Linked DNA regions of Diceros bicornis minor. The protein of the gene in region 1 interacts with the protein of each later gene in a pairwise test. Links are inferred from orthologs where the notes say so. Each region holds a gene or a part of one and is shown in the gene's direction. Other genes may lie near its edges.

The links. The genes of interacting proteins can lie anywhere in the genome.
Region 2: the proteins of KPNA2 (region 1) and SERTAD3 interact in binary tests that used the Homo sapiens proteins (3 or more experiments, as listed by UniProt). The two-hybrid records come from large-scale screens. The link is inferred for Diceros bicornis minor from reciprocal best matches to the Homo sapiens genes KPNA2 and SERTAD3.

Annotation. Positions count from the first base shown.
Region 1 is NC_080757.1:47,461,196-47,468,253, reverse strand, and holds the start of KPNA2 (importin subunit alpha-1), read left to right. Parts: upstream 1-3,957; 5' UTR 3,958-4,064; intron 4,065-5,411; 5' UTR 5,412-5,436; coding exon 5,437-5,511; intron 5,512-5,661; coding exon 5,662-5,799; intron 5,800-7,058.
Region 2 is NC_080773.1:14,009,115-14,015,844, reverse strand, and holds SERTAD3 (SERTA domain-containing protein 3), read left to right. Parts: upstream 1-4,685; 5' UTR 4,686-5,311; coding exon 5,312-5,899; 3' UTR 5,900-6,216; downstream 6,217-6,730. Other genes in the region: BLVRB (flavin reductase (NADPH)), read left to right, coding at 1-103.

The DNA of each region.
Region 1 (7,058 bases):
AAGTCACTGTAAATTAAGCAAGAATAAATGCCCCTGTTTTGGATCCTATCTCAGCTTTCACGCCAAATTGTCAACTGCGGTGTTTTTAACAAGCGGAGATGCATTTCCTAATCTGTAACACAATCTCCTCAAGGTCGCTGTAGCGAAGTGAAATAACCACATTTTAAAATCTACCTCGCTGTCGTCAGTGATTATCGTCTGTCCCTGCACCAAAACTGATCTCTGTGCGACCCAGATGGGACTCGAACCCACAATCCCCAGCTCCGGAGGCTGATGCCTTATCCATTAGGCCACTGGGTCACCACGAGATCCGGGTTCTCACACCGTCTTCTTACGTGATGCCATCATCGCGCCCCGCCCTGCCCTGAGCTCCGCGGCCTCGCGTCGGGCGGTGTGTGATTTGGGAGCCGCCCCTAGCGGCGACGGCGCGCGCTTGCGCCCTCGGCTCGGACTGCAGGGCGAGCCCCCGCGCGCCTGCGCGGGGCCCTGTCCGCCCCGCTGCCCTGGGCTTGCGTGGCCGGCACGCGGACGGTTCTGGGCGGCCTCCTTCCGGGTGGGTTCTGTTCGCTGCGCGGACTGCACATTAGGCCCACTTGGGAACTTACCACAAAATTCCAATGCCTGTCCTCCCAACGTTCTATTTCTGTTTATCTGGCTGGGCCCGGGCGTCTGTATTTTACAAGTTCCCCAGGACCTTTCTCTGCCGCCGGCGTTAGGAACCACTCGCGGGGCGTGAGGGCCTCCGGCACCTGCCCCCTACACCCAACCCTCCCGTCCCTTACAGGGCCTTCCTTCCCTTTCTTTCTTGCATTTATTCAACGTACATTAATTTGATAATTATGTGCTGGGGACTGTTGCGGGATTCCAGGGTGAACAGGCTTTTCTTCAAATTTGCCCTTCTCCCCCATTCGTCTACATCCACTTTCCTCCCCCTCTCCTCTTCCCCTCCAGGTTAAAGGGAAAATGAATATAACAAGGTCCCTGAGTACAAAATAATACGGATTTTTGTTTGTTTGTGTTTATCCTAAAGCTGGGTTTTGGATAAAGATTTAGACTTTCTGGTTCCATACACAATATCTCTGTGCTTGTTGCATGTAAAGATGCTGCATTTGTGGCTTTTAAAAATATGCAATTTAGTTTTCTTGTTAGACATACAATACCTGTTCATTGTAAAATTGTATAAAGTATGGGAAAGCCAAACGAAGAACATTGAAATTGACCATAATTCTACCATTCGGAGTTAACCACTACCAACATTTTGATGTGTGTTTTTCAAATCTTAAGTGTCATTGTGTCATATGTCACTGTTTTATTACCTGTGGACCCTGACTCATCCAGGAAATGGTTTTCATGAAAGCTAGGACATTACTAGTGAATAATAATTCACTAATCATTCAGCACTGATGGTGCGGAAGTGATGGTGGGTAAAACTGACACCTTAGTGAATCAAGGCAGTGGCATCAAACTAGTAATGGTGTCTTCTTCACCTTTGCGCACTGGCTGTGGGGGGGGGGAGCCAGCTTCACTTAAGAATGTCCTTGATAATCATATAAGAATTATTAATTGTATTCAGTCTTGACTCGAGTACATATCTTTTTAATATTTTGTGTAACAAAATGGGAAGTGTGCATAAATCACTTCTACCACATACCAAAATACAGTGGTTGTCTCCTGAGAAAAACATTTGTGTGATGTTTGAGTTGCAGGCTAAACTAGCTGCTTTTTCAGTGGAACATCGTTTTTACTTGAAAGAATGACTGACAGACAAACTATGATTATTCAGATTTGGACACACTTGGGTTTGGTTCTCCAGAGCAGCTACAGTCTCAGGCGCCCATCATCACAGCACACAGTCCTGTGGAAGAGAGAGGCTATCTCACTCTCAAGGGCCTCAGTAAACTTTTTACTGTACTGTGTTAACATCTTCATCACCAAACCAATATGGCTGTGTCTCTGCCATAGAATGTACTGATTGGCCTAGGCCAGACAGGCCCTCTCCTGAATCTCTGTCCAGACTACAATAGCTAAGAGTAGAGGATGTATGGTTCCCCCTGGGCAACATTGTGTCTTTCAAAGGCAACTTTCACTTTTGACATTATACTTCCGTTTCAGGTTGTTTTCAGGTACAAGTACAGAATAGTGATTGAGAGCATGGATCCTGGACTAGACAGCCTGGGTCTGAATCCTGTCTCTGCCACTTATTCATTGTGTAAACCTGGACGAGTTACTTAACCACTCATGATTCAGTCTTCTCTTCTGTGAAATGGAACAGATAATAATACTACCTCGCACAGTTGTGAAGATTAAATGTATTAATATATGTAAAACAGAACACTTCTGGGCACATAGTACTCAATATTTTCAAGCAAAAGAAAACCCAATTTAACTAGCTTAAACAACAAAGAAAGTGTATCAGATGACATAATCACAAAGTTGTATAATTGCAACCTTCAGAGGTAGGGCATGCTGTCAATCAGAGCTTTCATGGTTTCTCCACCACTGTCCTATTCATACTTCCAGGAGTAACATCCCTCAGTTCAGAAGAACAGAGCCTGCTTTCCTACCTGCAATCACTAAACAAAAGGCATAGGCTTCCCAACTGGATGAATTTAGGTCACATGCCTGCCCCTGAACCATTCACAGTAGCCAAGAGAATGCCCTGCAATGACTGGCTTAGGGGTGAATTCCTTCCATGTTTTTGCACTTAGAGTGGATAGGATTCTGCTGATTGGGTAGGTGGGAATAGAATCAACCTCCTATGAACCACATGCTGCTACACAATGAGTGAGACTGGCATAAATGCCTGCAAGACGACTAAGTTCACTGTTTCAATTCATTTATAGCAAAAAATAAATCAACACAACTTTTTAAAAAATCCTTTTTCAGAATACAGAGAAACAGCAGAAAGAAAACAAAATGGCCCACAATCCTGATGCTCTGATAACCCTCATTGATGCTTAAAGAAAAGTACATGGCAAGAAAATGTAAACATTTTATTCAGAAATGTATAAAATACAGCATAGATCATTACTAGAACAATTGGCAAACCTTGAACATGAACTATATAATTAATAATAGCATCAAAGTTCAGTTGTCCTGAATTTGATGATGGTGGTGTGGTTATATAAAAGAATGCCCTTATTTTTAGAAGATACACGCTGATATATTTAGAGGTAAGGAGACATGATTTTTGAAACTTACTCTTAAATCGTTCAAAAAGTAATATGTAAAAGCCATATATATATATGTATGTGTGTATATGTATTTACATGGAGAGAGACAGAGAAATAAATGTGGCAAATGTTAACGTTTGGCAAATCTGGGTAAAGATTTGCAATTCTTCTGTACTGAAATTATTTAAAAATAAGTGTCTGGAAAAACAGGCATAATAAACCTTTTGTTACCATATTTGTGGCTTCTTTGCAGTCTTTTATGACACAAGTTTTAAAAAAAAAAGAGAGAAACTAAAAAATGCAAGACAAATCTGCCTTACTCCTCCCCTCCATAGTGGCCAGAAACCCCTGCCACGTTCCTTCTGTGTCCTATCAGGGAAAAAATGTATATCAATATTTTTCTATATGAAGATTTTTAAAAAGAAAGATTTTGGGAATCATCTGTGGTACGTGGTTAAGGCCACCCAGGAAAACGACCAGCGACCTTACTCGCATAAACCCTCAGCAGCGACCGGACCATCCAGCCAAGGCGGGGCTGGGAACCGGCCCTTCGCGTTGCATGCCGGGATCTGAAGTCTTTCCACTAAGAACTGCAAGGCGCTCTGGGATCGCCCGGCCGCTCCCCCATCTCGCGATGTTATCCTCCCTTCCTCTGGGCCCTATGATCACCACCCCTCCCCAACGTGTTTTTCAAATCCACCAATGGACGCACAGCGTCTGCTCGAACCAGCCAATCGGAATGCGGAGCCACCGGGAAATTTAAATCGCGCCGGCAGGCTGCACGAGCCACACCGTCTTCGGGTTGAGCCGTGGTGGACGTTTTGAGGGCATCCGATCTGCAGCCTGTGCGTCCCGCGCCGATTGCTGTGGAAGCCTGACCCGGCTGTGAAGGTACGAACTCAGGCCGCAGCCTGGCCCGAGCGGTAACGGCTGGCCCCAGGCCGCGCTTGGCTTTCGGGTGGCGAGAGGGGAGGCCCGGGTACACGCCCGGCCTGCCTTCGGCCTCCCTCGTTGGCGAGGCCTCGGGGGCGCCGTTGGTTGACTAGGCGGCTGTTCCGCGATGCGAGTGCGTGGGTTGTAGGGCGCCGAGGCTCTGCGGACCGCAGCGGGAGCCCTTGCGGCCCGGAGAATCTCCGTTAGGCCCGAGGGCCAAAGTCCGGGAGTGGGCCCGGCGCCTCCGGCCCCTCCTCCGCCGGTTCCCCGCCGCGTCTCCCCGGGGTGAGGGGCAGGGGACGGGACCGGAGGTGGAGGCGGCAGTTGGAAGGACTCGCTCCTTAACACGTAGGCGCTGGGTTGGCTGTGGCACAATTTCGTAAAAGAACATAGTGGAATTAAAGATAACAGATCGTAGGGAGGACTTTTACTTTCGTCACCTTTCAGAGATTGCTTTTAAGGTATCTGAGTCTGAATGAAGCACCATTAATATCAGCCCGATTAAGTGCATTCACTCGCGATTCCTAGAAATGAAAATGGGTGCGGGATGCTGGGGATGCAGAACTGCGTCGCAAGTTTTCAGTGTTGACAGGAAATGTGATGGAAGACTCCATAATGTAATGATGAACCAAATTTTTCTTTAGTTTTCAAGTGAGAAATTTCAGGGAGAATGTAGCTATTTTGGCCATTTAAAGACAATAGAGAGCCTCCAGAGAATCTGAATTTATTGCCCCTAGGACATAGATTTTAACAGTAAGGTCAGTTCCCCTGCTTTGTCTTCAGTTGGCTCTTTATGGACTCCGTATAGAGTCTAGAGCCGCACTGTCCAGTGTGATAGTCACTAAATGTATGTGGCTCATCCGAAGTGAGATATGCTGTAAGCTTCAAGTGCAGGCAAGATTTTGAAGAACTAGTATGAAAAAAATAAAATATCTCAATTTTTTAATGTTGTAACGTGGTGAAATGAGAATATATTGGAAGTGTTGGGTTAAATAAAATATATTATTAAAATTAATTTCACGTAATTCTTTTTGCTTTTTAAAAAATGTGGCTACTAGGAAATTTAAATTTATGCACGCTTGCAACATATTTCTGATGGACAGCACTGCTCCGGGAAGTCTCAGCCCCTTCAGAGGGGAGGGGACAGATATCATTTGGCCAAGACTATTTCATAGTGCTCAGAAAGGAAGTTTGTCCTCTAACAGAGAAGTGTAGATTCAATATATGCTTGGTAATTGTGTTGATGCTCTTCTTATTGACAAAGCAAAATGATAAAAGGGAAATTTTTTCTCTCCCCCATCTTAGAGCTTTCTCCCTTTGTCTCATAACCATGTCCACGAATGAGAATGCTAATTCACCAGCTGCCCGCCTTAACAGATTCAAGAACAAGGGTAAAGACAGTACAGTGAGTACTTTCTGTTGATTTCCTATGGTATTTTTTAAATGGGAAGATATTTGAGAAGAGGTCAGAACTTTGAGGGAATTTGAAAAAATGCCCTCACTTGGCAAGAAAAACTAATCTAATAGGTGAAATGATGTGTTATCTTTTTGCAAGGAAATGAGGCGGCGCCGAATAGAAGTTAATGTGGAGCTGAGGAAAGCTAAGAAGGATGACCAGATGCTGAAAAGGAGAAATGTAAGCTCATTTCCCGATGATGCTACATCTCCACTACAGGAAAACCGCAACAACCAGGTAAATATATTTTAGCTTCTGAATTATGGTAAACCCAGAAAATCAATATGGGGCTTTTCTTAGAAATTTAACATTCCTGGCTTTATGGTTTTAACTCTCAAATCTGAAGATCATTTTTTCTGCTCCCAATCAGTAATTCTGATGGGTTGTCTTCTTTCCTGCTCACCCTCCATAATCTTTTGAAGCTGATTCCAAGGTTGTCCTGAGTTCCAATCTCCTCCCTTCGAGTTTTCCAGCATTTCCAGCTGCCAGCTCGGTACCTTAACCTGGCCATTCCAGTGCTAACTGAAATTAGTGTATCCAGAACCAACCACTTTCTGGCTTATTTCTACCTTTTTTGATATTCTCTATTTTTTGTACTTGTCACTAGCTTTGTTCAGGGCTTTTTCTTTCTGAAATATTTTCAGTAGTCTCCTAATTTATCTTTCCCTTCATTCTATGCCACATACTATTTACTTAAAAATTTTCCTAAAATTCTGCTTTAGACATGTTCTTTCTTTGCTTAAAACTTTGATGGTTTTAAATCCATATTATTTGAAGGTTTTTTTAAATTAGACCCATCGTAGATTTTTAAATATCTCTCGTTTTTAAAAGATATTGGGCACTTTCCTACCTTTTATCTCTGTCGCCCCCCCCCCCCCCCCGAATACTACCTACGTGCTATTTCTAGGGTATTATTCTCAAATCCATCTTTTCCTTATAGCACTCCCTGGTCAGCTTAGCAGGAAAAATGCCCCCTCTCAGAATTCCTCTAGCACTCTGGTTCTGCACCAACAATGGAGAGTAAATGCTTATATAACATATATATACACATACATATATATATATACACTATTTGTTGTACGGTTGTTGATGTCACATTTTCCTTGTTAAGTTGTAAACTTCTAGGGAAAAAGGGACACTGTCTTTTTGAGTTGTCTACTTGAGTTATAGTATTGGTTCTCAAACTTTTCTACTGGGATTACAACATATAACATTTATATTTGCAGCACTATACCATGGAAATGCATAGATTATAAGGTTAGATGTGAAAATCCCCAGCACATTGCCTATAACTCCATCCCTTTTTCCCCTAAAAGCTTATGCAAGTGATTGAGACTAATGTAGAAATAACCTTCAAACTGCTCTAATTCACTTTTTTGTTTTTTCCTCCTAATTCACTTTTTTAAATTGTTCACAGCCACCTTTTTTAGTGACAAAATTCTGGAGTACGCCATGACTTGAGACTCCAGTGAGTCATGATACCACGTTTGAGAACT
Region 2 (6,730 bases), on another chromosome or scaffold:
GAGAGTCATCTCCAAACACGACCTGGGCAACTTCATGCTGCGCTGCCTCACCACCGATGAGTATGACGGCCACAGCACCTACCCCTCCCACCAGTATGATTAGGGCGTCGGCCCACCCAGGAAGACAGCATCCTTGGAAATGGAGAACAAAGGAAAGGAGCAATAAATCTTGAACCAAGAGCTTCCAATTATTCCTGAAGATCCAACCCTGGGACTCTTCCTCTCTGGCTTTGTCTGGATGTCTTAGTGGCTCTGTGTAGGATTTTCTGGGTATTCATTTATTTCCTCAGTCACAGTTTATTGAGTCACTGTGCTGTGCTCTGCCCTGTGCTAGGGACCCAGGGGTCACTGTGAGGACCCAGTGGTGACCCTGCCTTCACAGGTGTCACAGTCCAGTGAGGAAGGCAGCCGTGCCCCTGATAGTGACAACTCTGATGGCCAGGGCTCTGAGCGAGGGCTGAGGGAGCCCCGAGGGGGCACCTGACCCAGCTTGAGGAGCTAGACAAGGGTCTGCGGAAGAGGGGATGGCCCACCTGAAACCAGGTTGGGTAAGAATGAGCCAGGAGAAGGTTCTAAGGCATGATGGCTTTCTGGGCAGAAGGAACCACATGCGCCAAGGCCAGGAGGCTGGAAAGCATGTGGCCCTTTTGAGGAACTAAAATCCATCCCCTACAGTTAATAAGACTTTTCTCGGAGGTGAGGAGTGGTCAGACCCAAGAGGCTGTTCCATGGATGCTAAATTGTGTGGAGTCAAAAGTTTGAGCTTTAGTCTGAGGTTTTACCCAAGGAATGGAGCAGGGGAGAGGTGGGGAGGTGGCACAGTCAGGTTTGTGTTTTAGAAAGCTTTCTTTGGCCACTGTGTGAAGGTGGATGGGAAGGGGCAAGAGTGGAGGCTGGGAGCCCTGGGGACCAAGGCAGAGGCCTTGAGGAGGGGAAGGGAGAGTGGGTGGGAGCCTGATGGTCCATAGGGGAGGGGAAGGAGGCATCCAGAAAGAAGCATAGGGCTGTAACCTGGGGACGGGGGAAAGGTCCCTGAGAAAGGGACCCTAGAGGAGGGACAGGCTTGGGAGGGGGAAAGGGCAGAATTGCCCCTTCCTAATCACACCCTGCCTCTGTTCCCCACAGACACTTTTCCCAGACCTGCCGTGAGCTACTCCTCTCTCCCTACATCCAGCCACCCCCACCTACCCCCCAACACCTTCTCCCCTCCCCCTCCCCAAAATCCATCCCAACCCTACACTGCTCTGCAAACAGCAGGATGACTTGGTTGACAAATTCCAACCGGTGAGAACTGGTCTGAGGAGCCTTAAACCTCCAGTCCCAGGGGTAGCCTGGAGAAAACCGCCTCCCCCTCCCCTTAGTGAAAACTTGATGGGGGTGGGGCACTACTGGTTTAGGCTTCCAGGGCACACGCGCTGTTTCATTTCTGCCCTCTCTCTTTCTGTCACACTCTGGACATTGAACAGACTTTCACTGAGCGCCTGCTTTATGTCCAGTCTTGTGTTAGGTGATGCTGTGGACCAAGCAGTGGGTGGCTATGATAACCTTGGTACTTGTCCTCAGGGTGCCCACAGTCCAGATAGTGACAGCCCAGGGCTAGGATGGGGGAGGCACGGGCAGAGGGGTCAGGGCCGCGATGAGGAAAGCACAGGACACCCTGGGAGCCCAGAATGGGTCCTTAACCCACCCTAGAGCAGGGAGGGCTTCTAGGAGGAGGCAACCTTTGAGATGAGTTCTGATGAGAGGCAGCCTAGGAATTGAGGGGATATTTTCAGGACTAGGAAACAAGTTTAAAGACCTAGAGGCCTTTTATTCTCATTTTTGAGTACTTGCTATGGACCTGGCATTGTTGTAGGCCCTGGGGATAAGGCAGAGAAGAAAACAGAAAATCTCCGCGGTCATGGTGGTGGAGGGCACTTGAAGCCATTTTAGAAAAACTGAAAGTGAATCGGTGTGGCAGGATAGTAGGGAGTAAGGAGGAGTGTGCATCAGGCCAGACCGTGAAGGGCTTTGCAGCAAAAATAAGGAGTTTGGACTTCGTCCCCAGGGCAGTGGGAGCCGTGAATGAGTTTCCAGCAGCGGAGGTGTCATCCTGAAAGAGGAAGGATAGGGTGTCAGGACGATGCAGGAGGGACCACGAGAAGACGGGCTGAGAAGTCCTGATGATTAAGAAGGGCGCCGCAGAAGGAAGAGTCAGCAATTCTTGGAGAGATGTTCTGAAGCTCCTTGCTAAAGACTGTTGCTTTTGATTTTCCAGTGATGGATGAAGGCCAGGACAAGATGGTCACTAGGGTCACTTTGGGACACAAGAGTCACCATTGTTTCCCTGGTGGCTGGGAATTGAGCCTACAATTGAGCAGGTTCATCCTAGCTGTGAATCCACTGAGACTGAGCTGGAAAACCAGAAATATGAGGTCAGCCCTGACTCAATGCTTCTCAGCTGGTGGAACCCCAGCCTCACCATTCTAAACAACCGCCTCTAAAGCACATTTCTATTTAAAACTTAGATCTAAGCGCAATAGAGTGGTTCAAAACGCCTTCATGGGACACAGGGAAACTGCTCTAGAACTTGAGTTCAGATTTTTGTTGTCTTATTTTTAGGAGACCTGGCCAGCTATAGTGTTGATCCCAATAGTGATCTGAAGTTAAAATAAGGAACATAAACAAACCATGGCAATACGATATATTTTCTATTGGTACATATATATGCACATAAATGCGTAGAAAAAGGTCTAGAAGTAAGACTTCAAACCCAACAAAGAGGGCTACCCGTGGGGAAAGGGGGGTAGGGAGGGGCCCAGGATTGGCTAGGATGGTCAGAGGAAACTTCTAATCTCTCAATAATGTTTTCATTTTTTACAAGGAGGATATATTTATAATTATTTGTATAATTTAAGAATAAGTTTAAAATAAAAAAAAAAAGAAGGGCGCCGCGGGGTAAAATGTTGGGGAGCAGGAAGACAGGGGCAGCGAAGGGGCGGGGCTGCCATCGCCCAGGCAACGTAGGCCGCGCCAAACTATTGGCTGGCCGTCAGCTGCGTCATCCTCCCCCGATGCGCAGCGCCGCCTCGGAACCCCAGGGGCGCGGCCTCCGCCAGTGGTTCGGCCCCGCCCTCCCTGAAAGCGGGGTGAGGAGGCGCGCGTGCCCCTCAGTCTTCCTCCGCGATGGGGTCCAGGCTTGGTATAAAGGGATCACAGAGAGCAATGCTGACGATCTTGGAGCTAGGACAGTAGCTGAGTTGAAGGAAATAGTTTTGAGGTCCCCGCCACCTTCCACCCTAGAACGCGGCCCCGCCCCCTGGCCGGTCGGAATCCTTTAAATGGTCCGGGCGCAAGGAAGGGGAGGGCGGGTCGGGCGTCTCCTGGAGACGGGCGGGTGGCTCCGCCCAGCCAATCTGCGCCCCGCGGCGGGCAGGATTCCAGCCAATCGCGGCTCGCGGCTCGGCTCCGGGGCGGAGCTGGGGGAGCGGAGGCCAGACAGAGAGGCCCCGGAGGTGAACGAGGCCCCTACCCAGCCCTGGAGGGTCGCGAAGCTACGGACATTGCAGGAGGTGGTCATCGGCAGCTGAGGTGAGGGGTGGCTGCCCGGCTTGAGATCTGCCTTAGGTCGGGGGAAGTGGAGGCGCGCCCCCGAGAGCTGTGGAGGCGGGGTCTGGGCGGGAGTGGGGGGGCGCAGATTAAGGGTGATGATAGGGTTTCAAGGGTTTGGGGACCGGAGACCGAGTTCGAGATCTTGGACGGGAGGCGAAGTTGTTGGAGCAGGGTCCTCGAGTAGAGGGAGTTTGAAGCTGGGGTGTTTGGAGAAGCGAGAGAACCAGGAAAGGAACTTTTTTGGGGCAGGGAATCTGGAGATAGGACAATTCAGGTCTCCCGGACTGATTGAATTCGGGGCTCTCGTGTTCTGGAAAAGGTCTGAGGGCTTGGGGCTGGGGTCCCGGGCATTTGGAGAAGTGAGAGAACTAGCGGCAAGGAATCTTGGTCTCCCAGGCGCAGTCGCGGAGCGGGAGTGCCGGGAAGAGTTTCACGTTCAGGTCTTGGAGGGGGAGTTGGTGGAAGTGAAGTCCAGAGGCGTTTGAAAGATGGGAGAATAAGGGAGAGGTAACAGGGGAAGATCTCAAAATTGAGATACCTAGTCTCCCGAACGGAGAGAATCGGAGAGCATTTGTAGTCTTGAGCGATGTGTTGGGGCCTGGGTCTCTGGACCCCAGAGCAGTTTGGGGGTAGAATCCAGGACCTTCTGGGGTCCGAAGGACTGGCAGAAAGCAGTTTTAGAGCCGCACTCGGGTGGGGGAGGGGTGTTCCGGGCGTGGAGCTCAGACCCGCCGCCCTGGAGGCAGCGGAGGGCGGGGCTCGGCAGGCGCCCGGCAGCTGGACCTCCGGGTTCCCTTCCCCCACCCACCGCGGGCCCCTGTGCGCATGCCCTGAGGGAGGGCGGGAGGTTCGTCCCTGTGGCGTGCCGAGCCTCCTGGGGATTGTAGTGCACGTTCCACGTCAGTGCACGTACCTGGCGGCTATTAGCCCACATTTCCCAGAAACCCCTGGGCCAAATTGAGGCGGGGCTGGATGCGGAATGAAGACCCGTGAAGGGGCGGGGCCTATAGAGGGCCGAGGTCTGGTTGGATGAGTCGGGAGGGGGCGGAGCTTGGTGTGAGTCGCGTTCTTGCAAGTGTCCCTGGCGGGTGCGCTTTTGGGGAAGTTTAAGGCGCGGACGGAGGGAACGAGGGCGGTCCCTTTCCTACTGCTGGGAGCGCTCTCAGGAAGAGGGCATGAACTGAAACATCCTCCCTGCGAAAGAAGAGTCTCGACAAATAGGTGCCCTAAGAGGGCTCTAAGTGGCTCGAATATAGTAGACGCTCCAATAAAGATATTGAATAAATGGCAGTTAATTCCTGTTCATTAAGTGTTTCCTGTATGGTGGGCCCTGTGCATGTTACACGTGGGATCTCCTTGGCGATGTGGTGAGAATTTTTGCAATCCCCATTTTATAGATGAGGAAACTGAGGCCCAGGGAGGTAATGTCACATCACTTCCCAAGATCACATGGCTGAGCAGCCTGAAAGGTAGAATTCTAACCCAGGATTCCCTACTTCTGGTCCACGTCTCTGTACTCCACACCTGTCTTGTGTGGGTCACATTTGAAGAAATGAGTATTGTGGAAAGAACAGTTTTAAGACTCAGAGGGATTTAACTTAGGATTCTCATCTTGCAAATGAGGAAATTAAGTCTCAAAGAGGTAAAACACCCATACAGGAGATTCTGGATTTGAACTAGCCCTGCTATGTCTGACTTGCTCTTCTCTCTGTAGGGCATCATGGTAGGAGGCTTAAAGAGGAAACGCTCAGATTTGGAGGAGGATGAGAAGTGGGACTGGGGTCCGGCAGGCCTCCGGAGCTACCAGCAAGCCCTGCTCCGCATCTCCCTAGACAAGGTCCAGAGAAGCCTGGGCCCCCGAGCACCCAGCCTCCGCAGGCATGTCCTCATCCAGAACACGCTCCAGCAGCTCCAGGCCGCGCTGTGCCTGGCTCCGGCACCAGCTCTGCCCCCTGAGCCCCTCTTCCTGGGTGAGGAGGACTTCTCCCTGTCAGCCACCATCGGCTCTATTCTCAGGGAGCTGGAGACCTCCATGGACGAGACGGAGACCCCTCAGAATCCAGTGGCTCCCGTGAGCCCCCAGAATGAAGTGCTACCCCAGCCGGATCCAGTCTTCTTAGAAGCTCTAAGCTCCCAGTACCTGGGGGACTCTGGTCTGGATGACTTCTTTCTGGACATCGACACGTCCACAGTGGAGAAGGAGCCAGCACTGGCCGCACCGGAGCCTCCTCACAGCCTCTTCTGTGCCCCCGGGTCCTGGGAGTGGAATGAACTAGATCACATCATGGAAATTATTCTGGGCTCCTAAAACTGATGAGCGGGCTCCTTCGTCATCTCAGCCTCAGTGGGCTGGATCCCTGGATGCAACTGTGTGTGTGTGTGTGTGTGTGTGTGTGTGTGTGTGTGTGTGTGTGTGTGTTTTGGTGGAGGCTCTAAGCAGTGTCTGGCCTCCTTTCCTCCCATTTCAGGGTTCCACAAACCGTCTTGCATGTGTGTGTGTGTCTGGTAACCGCAGCCTTCTGTGAAGGTGGGTCCTCCTAAATTAATTTATCTGTTCCAAATGCCTTAATGAGGCTCTGTTTCTGGGAGTCTGATTTCCCACTTCCACATTTCTTCTGCCTCTCCCTCCAGTTCCTACTCCCCTTGTGACCACTGGGGCCTCAGGGAAGACAAACTGGGCCTGTTCAAGGATGGCGGGGATGTGCTGCCTGGTTGCTATGGAAACCCAGGCTCTGCCTCTTGCACCTAGAGGGAGCCAGAGGGGCTGGCTGCCTCCCCCCAGGCTGAACCCCACCTCCTTGGCAGGACCCCAGTCCCAGCAGCCTCCTGATTTATAACGAGGCCGGACCACGTGCAATAGGGTGGAAACAAACTGCTCCATGCCGCGTTATTTAAAAGAAAGGCGGGTTTCGTGGTGGTTTTTTTGTTGTTTGTTTTTGGATTGTTTGTAATGATTTTTTTTTTAATAAAAGTATTTTGGAAGGGATAGTGTTGCCTAAAGTTTCTAAACCTCGCCGGAGCAATGGGAGGGACCTGGTAAGTTCCGGGCAGGTACATCATCAAACATAACATTTATTGAGGGCTTGTTAAGAGTGCTGTTCTACCCACTTTATTTGAGTTGTCATTTAATCCTCATGAT